2 linked regions of the Rattus norvegicus genome follow. The protein of the gene in region 2 purifies or fractionates together with the protein of the main gene of each other region. This does not show direct contact. Links are inferred from orthologs where the notes say so. Each region holds a gene or a part of one and is shown on either strand. Other genes may lie near its edges.

What was found.
Region 1: the proteins of Mink1 (region 2) and Cnot9 purify together in Homo sapiens (affinity purification with mass spectrometry; 3 studies listed by BioGRID and IntAct, with this or other methods). This does not show direct contact. The link is inferred for Rattus norvegicus from reciprocal best matches to the Homo sapiens genes MINK1 and CNOT9.

The regions. Positions count from the first base shown.
Region 1 is NC_086027.1:83,531,313-83,537,172, forward strand, and holds the start of Cnot9 (CCR4-NOT transcription complex subunit 9), read left to right. Parts: upstream 1-2,056; 5' UTR 2,057-2,473; coding exon 2,474-2,497; intron 2,498-5,860. UniProt on the Homo sapiens protein: Component of the CCR4-NOT complex which is one of the major cellular mRNA deadenylases and is linked to various cellular processes including bulk mRNA degradation, miRNA-mediated repression, translational repression during translational initiation and general transcription regulation.
Region 2 is NC_086028.1:55,774,950-55,780,776, forward strand, and holds the start of Mink1 (misshapen-like kinase 1), read left to right. Parts: upstream 1-2,053; 5' UTR 2,054-2,255; coding exon 2,256-2,312; intron 2,313-2,318; exon of another isoform or gene 2,319-5,827. UniProt on the Homo sapiens protein: Serine/threonine kinase which acts as a negative regulator of Ras-related Rap2-mediated signal transduction to control neuronal structure and AMPA receptor trafficking.

The sequences.
Region 1 (5,860 bases), on a different chromosome or scaffold from region 2:
AGAAATTATATGTTATTTGAATGAATGGATAAATAGAGTGATGAGTTTGGGAAGAAGAGAAAACAAACAAAACAAAAAAAAAACCCAGGGAGATCAGATAGAAGTGTTTTTTTAACTCATACTTACAATAATAATTAATTCTTACTTGCCAGTTTCTGTATGTCAATGCTTTACCAAGTTATAACACTCATAATAATCCACTAAGGTGAGAACTTTTTTGGGGGCAGGGTGGGTGTTTAGAGACAGGGTTTTTCTGCGTAGTTCTGGCTGTCCTGGAACTCACTCAGTAGTCCATGTTGGACTTGAACTCAGAGATCCATCTGCCCCTACCTCCCACTGCCCAGCTAAGATAAGAACTCTTATTCCTATTTTACCTGTGAGAATAAGTGCAAGGGAGATCAAGTCCATATGAAAAAGAACGTGGTTTGAACTAGAAAAATAAAAGTGAAGATGGCCAGAAATAGATGCAAAACATATATTGACGTAAAACAGAACTTGGAAAGGATATGAACACATAGGATGAAGAAATCAAGACTGCCTCTTAAGTTTCTACCCAGTGTAACTAAACAAATGGATATATGGCATCAAAATGAGCACGTCACTTGTGGTAGTGGACACTGGAAAAAAAGAGAATTTGGGTACAGAGAGAAATCCAGACTCTAGTTTTTTAAAATGTCATATTTGAAATTCCTAAGGGAAAAAAATCAGATTGAGATGTTAAGCAGTCAGCTATTTGAATATGGAGCTGAAAATAAAAATCCTCAATTTATCAACATATAGTAGAATTTAAAGCTTGGAGAGCAAGAGAAGAGAACCCCAGTCCAAAACTAAATTATTTTACCGTGCCAAAATTTTTTTATCAAGACAACTGATTACATCTGTCCTTGGATTTTTCAGTCCCTCCTTTACCTTTTGCCAGTATGCAACACTATTCTTTTGGATATTCACCCACATATTAACATGACAAATCACAAACGTACCATACAAGCACAATAGTGTCTATCTGTCTGGTCCAGAATCCTCCTCTAATACCTAACCCAATAAATCCAAATGCCCTCTTAACAATTCCCTCTTAGATTAGCTCTTTCAACTATAGACGCATTAGATACCGTAACTCGCCAAAAGAAAATCTGAACACTACAGTACAACTTTCCAACGACACGGAACTTTATTACCAATTACTTTTCTATTTTTCGCCAGATCTTGATTTAAAATTGGTAAACTGGACATCGTCAGTGTCATGGCTAGATACGGGTAGCAACCAAAGCACGACAAAAATTACACTCCCTTTTAGCGAGTAATGTTTAAGGGGAGTAGAAAAGTAAAGAATGGTCAAGAGGGCGAGTGAGTACCGTATCCAAGGTCTTGATGAATATGTGGCAACAAAGTCACCTGTAAAGACAGCAGGCCCTGCAAGGAGGCAAGCTGAGACCACCTGAACCCTGGTGAAGAGGAGCCAGGTTTAGGATGCAGAAAGCAAGTGACAGTAAGGACTTCGTTAAAAGAGAAAGAAAGTAAAGAGGAAATACTCGAATGGGGGCACCTGTAGGCATAGGGAGAGTCCAAGGACCCGGGGCGGGCTGAGAAGCAGCCCGGCGAACTCTGAAGTGGACGCCGAGTGGGCGGACCGCACAGGGTGGGGGGGGGTGCCGAGGAAAACGGCTCAATTCAGAAGCTGTCCTGGCTCGCCTTACCTGTGCCAGAGGGTCCCAGCTCCGGACAAACATGCCGGAAGCATAAAGTTCCCGCGGAGGGGGAGGGGCCAAGAGGTTCGGAAGGAAAGAGCTCCCGTAGTCCCAGACAGCGAGGCCGGTCTCTCCCCTAGCACACCTAAACCCTCTGATGGCGGGAACTGTGACTAGACGCAAACACGTACGGACGCACGCACTCTCGACGCAACCAGTCCAGGCGCGTGCGCGTAAGCGCGCAAGTCCCGCCCCTCAAGCATTCGCTCCGCCCCATACTAAGCCCAGCCCCTAACCCGGGCGGCCCCGCCCCTGTCGTGACTGTACTGTAATACACATGCGTACTCTCCACTTTACCAACTTTGGACCTCCCACCATTTTCCTCTCGCTCAGCCTGCTTGAGCATGCGCAGTTTTTGTCCTTCCAAGACTGCTGGCCTTTTCCCGCCCTTCTCTGGCCTTAGGAGGAAAGTCAGAGTTCACGTTTCTTAGGGGATATACTTGCGATGCCGGGGGGATACGAGGACCAGTAGTTTGCAGACGTCATTTTGATCCTGAACCTGAAGGTTCAAGGGACATACTTTGGGACTATTTGTTAGGCCGAGGTCCAGGAGGCGGGAAAGGGCTGTGTGGGCGGAGGGTCGGAGGTGAGAGGTCAAAGGGCTGCGAAGAGGGAGGAGCGAGCCGGAGACGGATGGCGGCTCTTCATCTTCGGCTGCAGAGCCACTAAAGCTGGGACGCGGGTCCGGCGCGTCCAGCGGAAGAAGTAGAGCGGCCCCCGCTCCCAACATGCACAGCCTGGCAACGGCAGCGGTGAGTGGTTGCGCCCGGATGTCCGTCTCAGCCCATTTTCTAGTTCCCAGATTTGGGCCCCAAGTCTAGCTGCTTCTGCCCCTAGTCCCAAGGTCCGGGAGTCTCCACACGCAGACCGTGGCGGAGCCGGACCCCGCTATCCCCTCAAGACCCCTCTCCTGGCCTGGCGCGCGGCCTCTTGCGTTCTTTTCCGGCGCCGAGGCCTGGTCCCGCGCCCCGCGCTGCCTCAGCAGGCCATTCATTGATTCTTTTGCGCTCGGCGTCAGTTTCTGGTTGCCGGTTGTGTGCTGGGCGTCGGTGGAGATGAGGATAATTCCACGGCCATTCGCTCTGGTCCCGTGATCCCATTTCTCCTCGCCTAGGCAGATCTCAGTGATTAGAAATAGGCTTCTAGCTCAAGCCACTTTGCATGAGGAAAGCCAAAGACTATCTGACTTAAGGTTCTCTGCATTTAAAGCCTTCCTCGCACCTCTCGTTTTATCCTTCCAAGAAAAGCGAATCATGTATTACACTTCCCTAAAGTCATACTATGACTTTCGGTTAAATTTAGAGAAATTAGACTCCTTGACCTACAATTCCTGTATGATATGGTCCTTAGTCACGTTTATGGGCTTGATTTTTGTCACTTGCTCCCTAAGCTCGGACCAAAATGTATATGAACTTTTCTGTTGCATATTCTCTACCTGGATTGTATTTCTTAGGACTCTGACTCCATACATGGACACAAGTCTACTTCAGAGTGACTTTATCCGACCATCTTCATAGTAGCTTGTAACCCCAATATTTTCTCATAAAGAGCACTGATCCCAGTTTTAGTTACGGGATTTTTTATTTATTTTTACTTGTGGGTTGTCTCCTGGAAGTCAGGGGTAGGTATTTGGTGAGTCGTGTTTACTTGTTTTCACCACCACTGGGACAGTTCCTACTACAAGGTAAGCACTCAAATATTGCTGACCTGAATAGGTACTCCCACAACCGGAAGCAGCATAGTTTAAGAACACTTGCCAGTTTCACTTTCACCAAAGGGAAATGCTATCAGGAAAACAATCTACTAGGATTACATTATGAGACAACATGACGTAATGACTAAATAAAACATGAAAAACTACCTTAACTTCAAGTATAAAATGAAATATTTAGGACAGTCGTGCTTGGAAGGCAGAAGGCAAGTAAATTTGTGAATTTTGAGGCCAGCCTGGTCTATATGGAGAGTTCCAGACCAGCGTGCTAGCATAGTGATATCCTGACCAAAAAGAAAAGATAAACATTCTCCAGAGTGTGGTGGCAGCACATCTGTAATAATAGCTCAAACAAACAGACCACAAGTTCAAGATCAGCCTGGCAATTTTTTTAAATCTCAGAAAACATCTTTTTAAAAGATGGTTGGAGGGGCTGGAGAGATGACTCAGCGGTTAAGAGCACTGACAGCTCTTCCAGAGGACCTGAGTTCAAATCCCAGCAACCACATAGTGGCACACAGCCATCTGTAATGGGATCTGATGTCCATGTATCTGAAGACAGCTACAGTGTGTACTTATAATAAATCTTAAAAAAAAAAAAAGATGGTTGGAGATAGTAATTATAGCAGAATATTTGATCTAGCATTTGTGACATTCTGGGTTCAGTCTCCAGAGACTCCTCCCAAAAGTGAACAATCTGATTGGCATGACATGTTTTTAATCCCAGCACACAGGGAAGCAGAGGCAGGCAGATCTCTGCATTCAATGGCAGCTTGGTCTATGGAGCATTTTAGACCCAGTCTCAAAGGGGAAAAAAAAGTAAGCAACCCAGCTAAGTGTATGTAAGCGAGACCTATACAGAAACATTGCTTTAGGAACGAGTGAGATGGCTCAGTGAGTAAAGGGACCTGTTGCCAAGCCTGAGGACCTGAGTTAAATCCCCAAAACTCACAAGACACACAGACTAATACACATAAAAAATATTAACATGCCACTTTATGATGTTTATTTCTTCTTTTCAAAGCAAGTGATATTTTATATCCTGTTTCTAACTGTTCAAGTTCTGTTTTTTTAAAGGTTTATTTATTTTATGTGTACACTGTCTCTGTCTTCAGACACAGCAGAAGAGAGCGTCAGATGCCATTACAGATGGTTGTCAGCCACCATATGGTTGCTGGGAATTGAACTCAGGACCTCTGGAAGAGCAGTCAGTGCTCTTAACCGCTGAGCCATCTCTCTAGCCCCCTTGTTCAAGTTCTTAATTAGGGGACTATAGTTTTCATAGGGGGAGGTGTGCGTTTATATAAGCACAAATAAAGAATATATGTAAGCCACATACGAATTTCCTTCATTGCACAGCCTGATTGATAACTGATGGCCAGCTGTGTTGTGTTTTTCTGTAGTGGTTTTGCAGTTCTTAGAGGAAACGCTGAGCAATCTCAGCACAGTAAGATTTGTACAAAGGAACACTGCAAGCTTTCTAATGCTGTGGACCAGGAGTTTCCAGACGCCACTGGGCAGCCTATGCTTTGTTTTCTAGTTGTTCCTATGATTATGTTAGTCATGAGAATCTAGTCTTTTAATCTCCATACCTTTTGTCAATATCTCAAGGTTTGCGTTACCCTTAGTTTTGACATTGGTCTGATTGGTGCCCAAATGAAATTCCTGGTCCTCTTTTTGTCCTCACTTTGCCAAGGTCTAGGAGCAGCCATGAAGGGAGGCAGATGGCAGTCAACTGACAGGCAACAACTGGACAGAAGCCCCTAGCTTCTTTTGTTCCTTCTTCCCCAGTTACACATATGATTTGAGAAGCAGCAAGTTGAAAGGTGGCGTTGGCAGTAAGGGAGTTCCTCAGAGTTGGATGGTGGATCTGAGCGTCTGAGCGCACATGCTTCAGTACCGGTCTCCTCTGCCCAGATGCTCGTTTTCCTTTGTGGTTTTGTTCTTTTGTTTTTTGTTTTTGTTTTTGTTTTTTTTTTCGTCTTTTGCCTTTTGTCTTTTTTTTTTTTTCCTGCCTAATGCATTATTTGAATAGCTGTTAAAACTGTGGCACAGTCAGCCAGCTACCACAATGGTATATGCCTTTGGTCCCAAACTTGATGATCAGGAGTCAGGAGCAGGCAGATCTCTTCACGTGCAAGGACAGCCAGGGCTACATAGACCCTGTTTCAAGAAGCAAAACAAACAAAAACCTGTGGTACACTACTTAAAAAGGTCTTATATAGTTCTTCAAACTACATGTACAGTGCCATACATAAATTTAAAAACATTTGTTACACTGCTTGACCCACATGGCAGCTCTGACAATTTCTTTTGCACTAGACATTCATTAGGATAATTGATAAGGGACAAGACTGAAGAATAAAAATTTGAGCCAATTTCTTTTTTTCTTTTTTTTTAATTT
Region 2 (5,827 bases):
TGCTCTTCCAGAGGAATCCCAGCAACCACATAGTGGCTCACAACCATCTGTAATAAGATCTGATGCCCTCTTCAGACAGGCGGGTGTATAAGGCAGCAGAGCATTAAATAAATACATTAAATAAATAAAAATGCATAGAGAGGTGATTCCAGCAGATCAGGCAAAGCAATGGCCAATGAGATTGGTCATGGCTGGTGTCTCAGTCAGATTTCTCCTTTGTAATAAAACACCATGACCAAAAACAACATGGAAAGGAAAGTGTTTACCTCAGCTCACACTCCCTCACTGAAGGAAGTCAGGGCAGAAACCTGGAAGCAGGAGCTGAAGCAGAGACCACAGAAGATTGCTGCTCACTGGCTTGCTCCACCTGCTCTCTTACACAATGCTGGACCACTTAGTGGGCTGGGCTCTCCCACATCAATCACCAGTTAAGAGAATGCTTCACAGGCTTACCCACAGGCCAACCTCGTGAGGGTGTTTTCTCAGTTGAGGTTCCCTCTTCTCAAATGGCTCTAGCTTGTGTCAAGTTGACATAAAAGTAGCCAGCATAGCTGGAAGTTGGAGAATACTCCAGGGGAAAAAAAATAAGTGCAAAAACAGGTAAGAGATGTTGAGTTCTGGGAGCTTTAAGTAGAGTATATTTTAGTGCATCTGGAGCAAGTTTAAGTGTGGTTTATTAAAATATAAGACCAGAAAAGAACATGTATATGTATATGTATCCAGAGAAACAGGCAGAATCTTGAAAATCTTTGCTCTCGCACAAGGCAGTGGGAGCCATCAAACGGTGTTTTTATTTATTTCAGGTTTTTTCCCAGTCCTTACATAGCCCAGGCTAATAGAAAATGTAATACTCCTGCCTCAGCTTCCTAAACGGCGGGGTTCAGAAAACTGTTTTTAAACAGGAAAATGATGCCAGATTTAAGGTTTTAGAAAAAAAAATCACTTCTGGATATGAAGAATTGATTTGAGTGTGCCAGGCAGAGAGGTTATGTGGGAAGGCCAATCGGGGATTGTGGCTTGCATATTAGGGGCAAGGTAAAGAGTCAGGAGAGTATCCAGAGCAAGTTTGAATGTGCATCCAAATGTGCCAAGAAGCCTCCAGAGAATTCAAGCTCACCTAAGCAATGTTTATGTTAATTTTCAGAGGGAGTATTAGTGTTGGAAGAGCTCTTGAAACACTCAGAACCTTTCCCCCTGGACTTAATAGAGAAAGAAAAGCTCAGAGGCAAATTCACTTGTTCAAGGTCACATAACGCATTAGTCAGTGGCAGAACATGTCTGTCTATGTTTACAGAGCATCATCCATCCTCTAGAGAGACTAACCGGCTGGAGGTGCTGTGTCAACATGAGGAAATCTAGGGAGCTGGAACAAAATTTGAAGGGATTGGATACAGTTTCTTCTTCTTCTGCTTTGCTACTAGCAACTCCAGCAATAGTTCCTGAAGAACACTGTGCTAAGAGAAGCAGATATAAACGTGTGCAGTAGGAGTGCCTATCTGCTCCCAACATCCCCACTCCAGCCAGAAAAGGGAGTAAAGGGCAGACAGTACCCCATCCTTTCCTCCCACGTGGTTTCTCCAGCCAAGTTCTCACGGAGAGGCCCCTCCTTCAGCGGCTCCACTGTTACCATGGCAATTGGGTGGGTGGACAGCCCGTCCTATCTAGAGGCCAGCAGCCCTCGCGTGGGGAGTTACCATAACAACCCCCCTAGTAATAGAGGGGGTTCGGTCCCGCCTCCCTTCCCCCGCAAATAGAGAGGTGGGTGGTTTGATTGGCAGCTGGGCACACGAAAGAGGGAAAGGGAAGGAAAGGAGTCAAGTAAAGATCAACGAAGGAACTAGGAGAGGAAGCAATAATAATAAAAGGGGAAAGGAAGGGAAGGTGTGTGCGCACGCGCACCGGCGGGTGGGCGCACTCCTTCCAAGCCAGGTTCCAGCGAGGCTCGGTCCGCGCGTGCCCTCCGCCAGCTCTCCTGCGCCTGCGCGCAGGTGTCGGCACCCCGCTGGAGGGGGTGCCCGGCGCGTTCGCGTCACGGTCCGCTCCGCGCGTGCGCAGGGCAGCGGGCGGCTCGGGTTGCAGGCGCGCGGGTCAGAGCGCCTGTCAGCCGCTGGGTCGGTCCTCCCGCTGGCCCTCCCCCTCCCCGGCCTTCGGGGCAGGCGCGGTGGAGCCCGCCCCTCGGGTCCCCCGATGGGGGAGAAGCGGCAACGGCGGCAGCGGAGTGAGCGAGCCGGAGCGTGAGTGGCCCCGCGGCGGCCATGGGCGACCCAGCCCCCGCCCGAAGCTTGGACGACATCGACCTGTCTGCCCTGAGGGTGAGCACCGCCCCCAGCCTCGCCCCCGCGACCCCTGCCCGGCTCCGGGGCTCGCGCCGCCCAGGCTTTCGCCCTCTGGAGATTCTGGAAGCCGGTTCGGTCCCCACCCTGTGCTGCCCTCCCCCACACTTGCGTACCACCCCTACCTTGCTGCTGGGATCCGAGTCCCCTCCTTTATAGGCGTTTGAGGGTCACCTTTGGCATTCCTAAACACAGCCCTGCATCACCTGCAGAGCCTTTCTTGCTCCCCCAACCCCGTCGGCCCTTATGTCTGCTTCCTCCACCTCCTCCTCTGGCTCCTGGAATTTTGACTTTGCAACTGCCTCAGCCTCCCCCTCATCCCTCGTTTTCTTCCTCGCCTACCCCTGAATTGCAAGTTGGTCGGCATTTCACCTCTCACTCCACCCCACACACCTCCTACGTCTACATCCCACGTTCACTTTATCCCTTTTCTCGTGTTTCAAGTGCAGCTTTTCAGACCCAGGCATTTCCGGTCTCGGGGTCCCTGAATATTACATTACTAACTCTGCAGCCGCGTGGGGCTGGGAGGACAGACAAGTGCACAGTGGGAGGAAGGGAAGCCTGGATTTCCTCGCAAACTCGGACCGGAAGACGATGTTTACATACATGTACAAACACACAATACATGCTGCCTGTGGTCAGTAGGGAGGACTTGGGGAAACTCGTGGGAGTGGAGGCCAAGGAGAGTTGGAGGGAGGGGCTCATTAGGGAAGCGGTTAGGAGGAAACAACTGTGTCAGGAATGCTTTCAAATAACCCATTTATTGTTCCACGTGGGGCACTTACTCTCTCTCCTTCCGGAATTTTCAATTCAGCAGCATTTGTATGTTTTTCTTTAGCGGGCAGTTTTGTCTTAAGGGCAACATAGAAATTTCAAGGTGAACCACTCCAGACTGTCTCTCTCCCAGGTGGTGTTTGGATTCCGTCCCCTTCGAGCTTTCCCAACCTGCGTAGGTGTAGATAGAGCAGGGTTTCCCCACCTCATGCTTACCTTCGCAGAAGGTCTCTCTACACATTGTCTGCTGACTTTTAAATTAACCAGGGAAAAGGCAACCACCCCACAAGTGCCCCGGATATGACTGGAGGGGAGAGAGAATTGAAGAGAGCAGAGTCATGTTGTTAATTGGGTTTCTCTAGGTGACACAGTTTTGTTTTGTTTTTTTTTTTTCCCCTCCTCCCTTGCCATTCAGGTCATAATTTGTCTGGTGCAACGTTGGGTTTCTGGAGAACAAGATTGAGCATTAGATCTCTCTCTCTCTCTCTCTCTCTCTCTCTCTCTCTCTCTCTTTCTCTCTATCTCTCGCTCTCGCTCTGTGTGTGTGCGCACTTTGACAGAGAAGGCTTTAGGAGATAAGCTTAGTCCGTGTTTAAACTAGGATACTCAAGTCCATTGGGATATAAGATGTAAGTCCAGGTTTTGAGTAAAGTTTTAATGTGCTTGAATTTGGAATGCAATTGCAGATTGAAGTTGTTAATTAACTCTGGGCGCAGGTTCTCTGGCTGTGGTGACCATAAAGAAACACTGTTACTCCGTGGGTAGGTGCAGACCGTGACCTTTGATTTTTCCCTTTGGTCCTCTGCTTCTCTTTTCTTTTGGTTTCTCTGGTAACTTTATCTGGGCCCCCATCTTGGCGTTTCCAGCAATTCTGCAATTACTGTTTGACCTTGGCCATGGTATTTCCCTTCTGGACTTCCCTCCATGAAGTATGTTAGCCTCCTTCCATGCTTACTTCTCCTGGGTTTCCTCTCCTTCCCTTCAAGAGAACCGGGTGACCTGTTCCTTATACTTCTATCTGTCCTGCCTTCTGCTTCTGAAGAAAACAACCCATTTCTCTCACAGTGGTACTTCGAGACCTGAGGAAGAGCTGCAGTTTCTTGAAATGGGGCTGAAAGGCTGCTCTTTCCTTACTCCTGGCTTCCTTTGCCATTGCCAGTCTGGTCCAGCACACCTGTGAGAAGTGCTATGGCCTATCAGGCAGCTGGCCCAGTCACACCTTGTTCTGTTGATGCTTTCTAGATAGGAATGGAAACATTGGGTGAATTAACCAAGTATGCAAGCCTGGTGTTGGTTGTGTTAGAGTGAGAGAAGAGCATCCTTAGGGTTGAGTAGCTAGCCTCTATGAGCCTCAGATGTCTTTCTCCTCTTGTTTCAAGATAAGGTTTGGCTTTCAATTGACAGTAAGAGCAATAGTCTGATATTAGAGGAAAATTGAATTGCACTAATCTCTTAGTAAGGAGGCCAGAAGGACCTGTTACTTTGTAACCACACCACCCTTGGCTTCTTGGGCTGTTCATCCATCAGTACGGTGGCATAATGTAGAGGGGGAGGAACATGAGTCTGGTGTTGCTTTCTTGAATTGAAGTCCTAGCTTCCTTACTTCCTGTAAAATGCAGACCTTGGTTCTTTATCCTTACTTCCCTTCCTTCAGACTCTGCAGTCTAACTTCCCTAAGCTCCATTTTCTCGCCTGTGTGATGGGAACGGCAATAGCGTTAGACATAGTTACTGAAGTTAAATGAAATGATGCACGTTAGTCGGCTCAGTTCCTAGCATAGATCAACTGTATTACCAGTCAGAAAAGCCTCCCAGGAGAACTCTAATAAATAACACTCTCTCCTTGCTTTATGTTTCTGTAAAATTCTGTTTTTCATACTTCTTATCACTAAGAAGGCATAGATCTATTTCTGTCAGTCTTGACTAAAACATGAATTAAGGCTGGGGGGACTAACTCAGTAGTAATTGTCTGTTTAACATGGGCGACACACTAGGATCTTCAGTGCCACAAAAATAAAAGCATACTGTAAGCTAGAATTCTGACTGCCCTGTTCCCTGTCCTCAGTGCCTAGAGCGTTTTATGCAATGGGACTCAGAGACTTGTTAAGTGAGTGCACGCTGGAACAACTGGAAGCTGTTAGTGTAATGCTTGCTTAAAGTAATAAAGAAATGCGGGGTTGGGGATTTAGCTCAGTGGTAGAGCGCTTGCCTAGGAAGCGCAAGGCCCTGGGTTCGATGTCCAGCTCCGAAAAAAAGAACCAAAAAAAAAAAAAAAAGAAATGCTAGACTTGGCCAGAGGAGATGGCTCAATGGGTAAAGGCAGTTACAACCTGAACTTGACCCTCAGAACCCACCTGGTAGAATAAGAAAGTGGGTTGTCCTCTGACTTCATATGTGTGCCAGGATGCATGTATGCATGAAGCCATATTAAAATATACATACATATATATATATATATAGAAATATAAATAAATATGAAATATGCTAGGTGTTGTAGCACAGACTTTCAACCCTAGAAGAAAAGTAAGTGGGATCTTTGAGTTATATGACAGCCTGGTCTACATAATAGAGAAACCCTGCCTTAAAAAAACAAAACAAAAAAAAAGTTCAAGGGTAGCCTGGATCACATGAGAACCTGTCTCAAAAACAAGGACAGAAAGAGTCTTTTCTGAGATGCTCTGGAATCAGCTCTTGCCTGTGATAAAGCAGAGTTCTGGATGC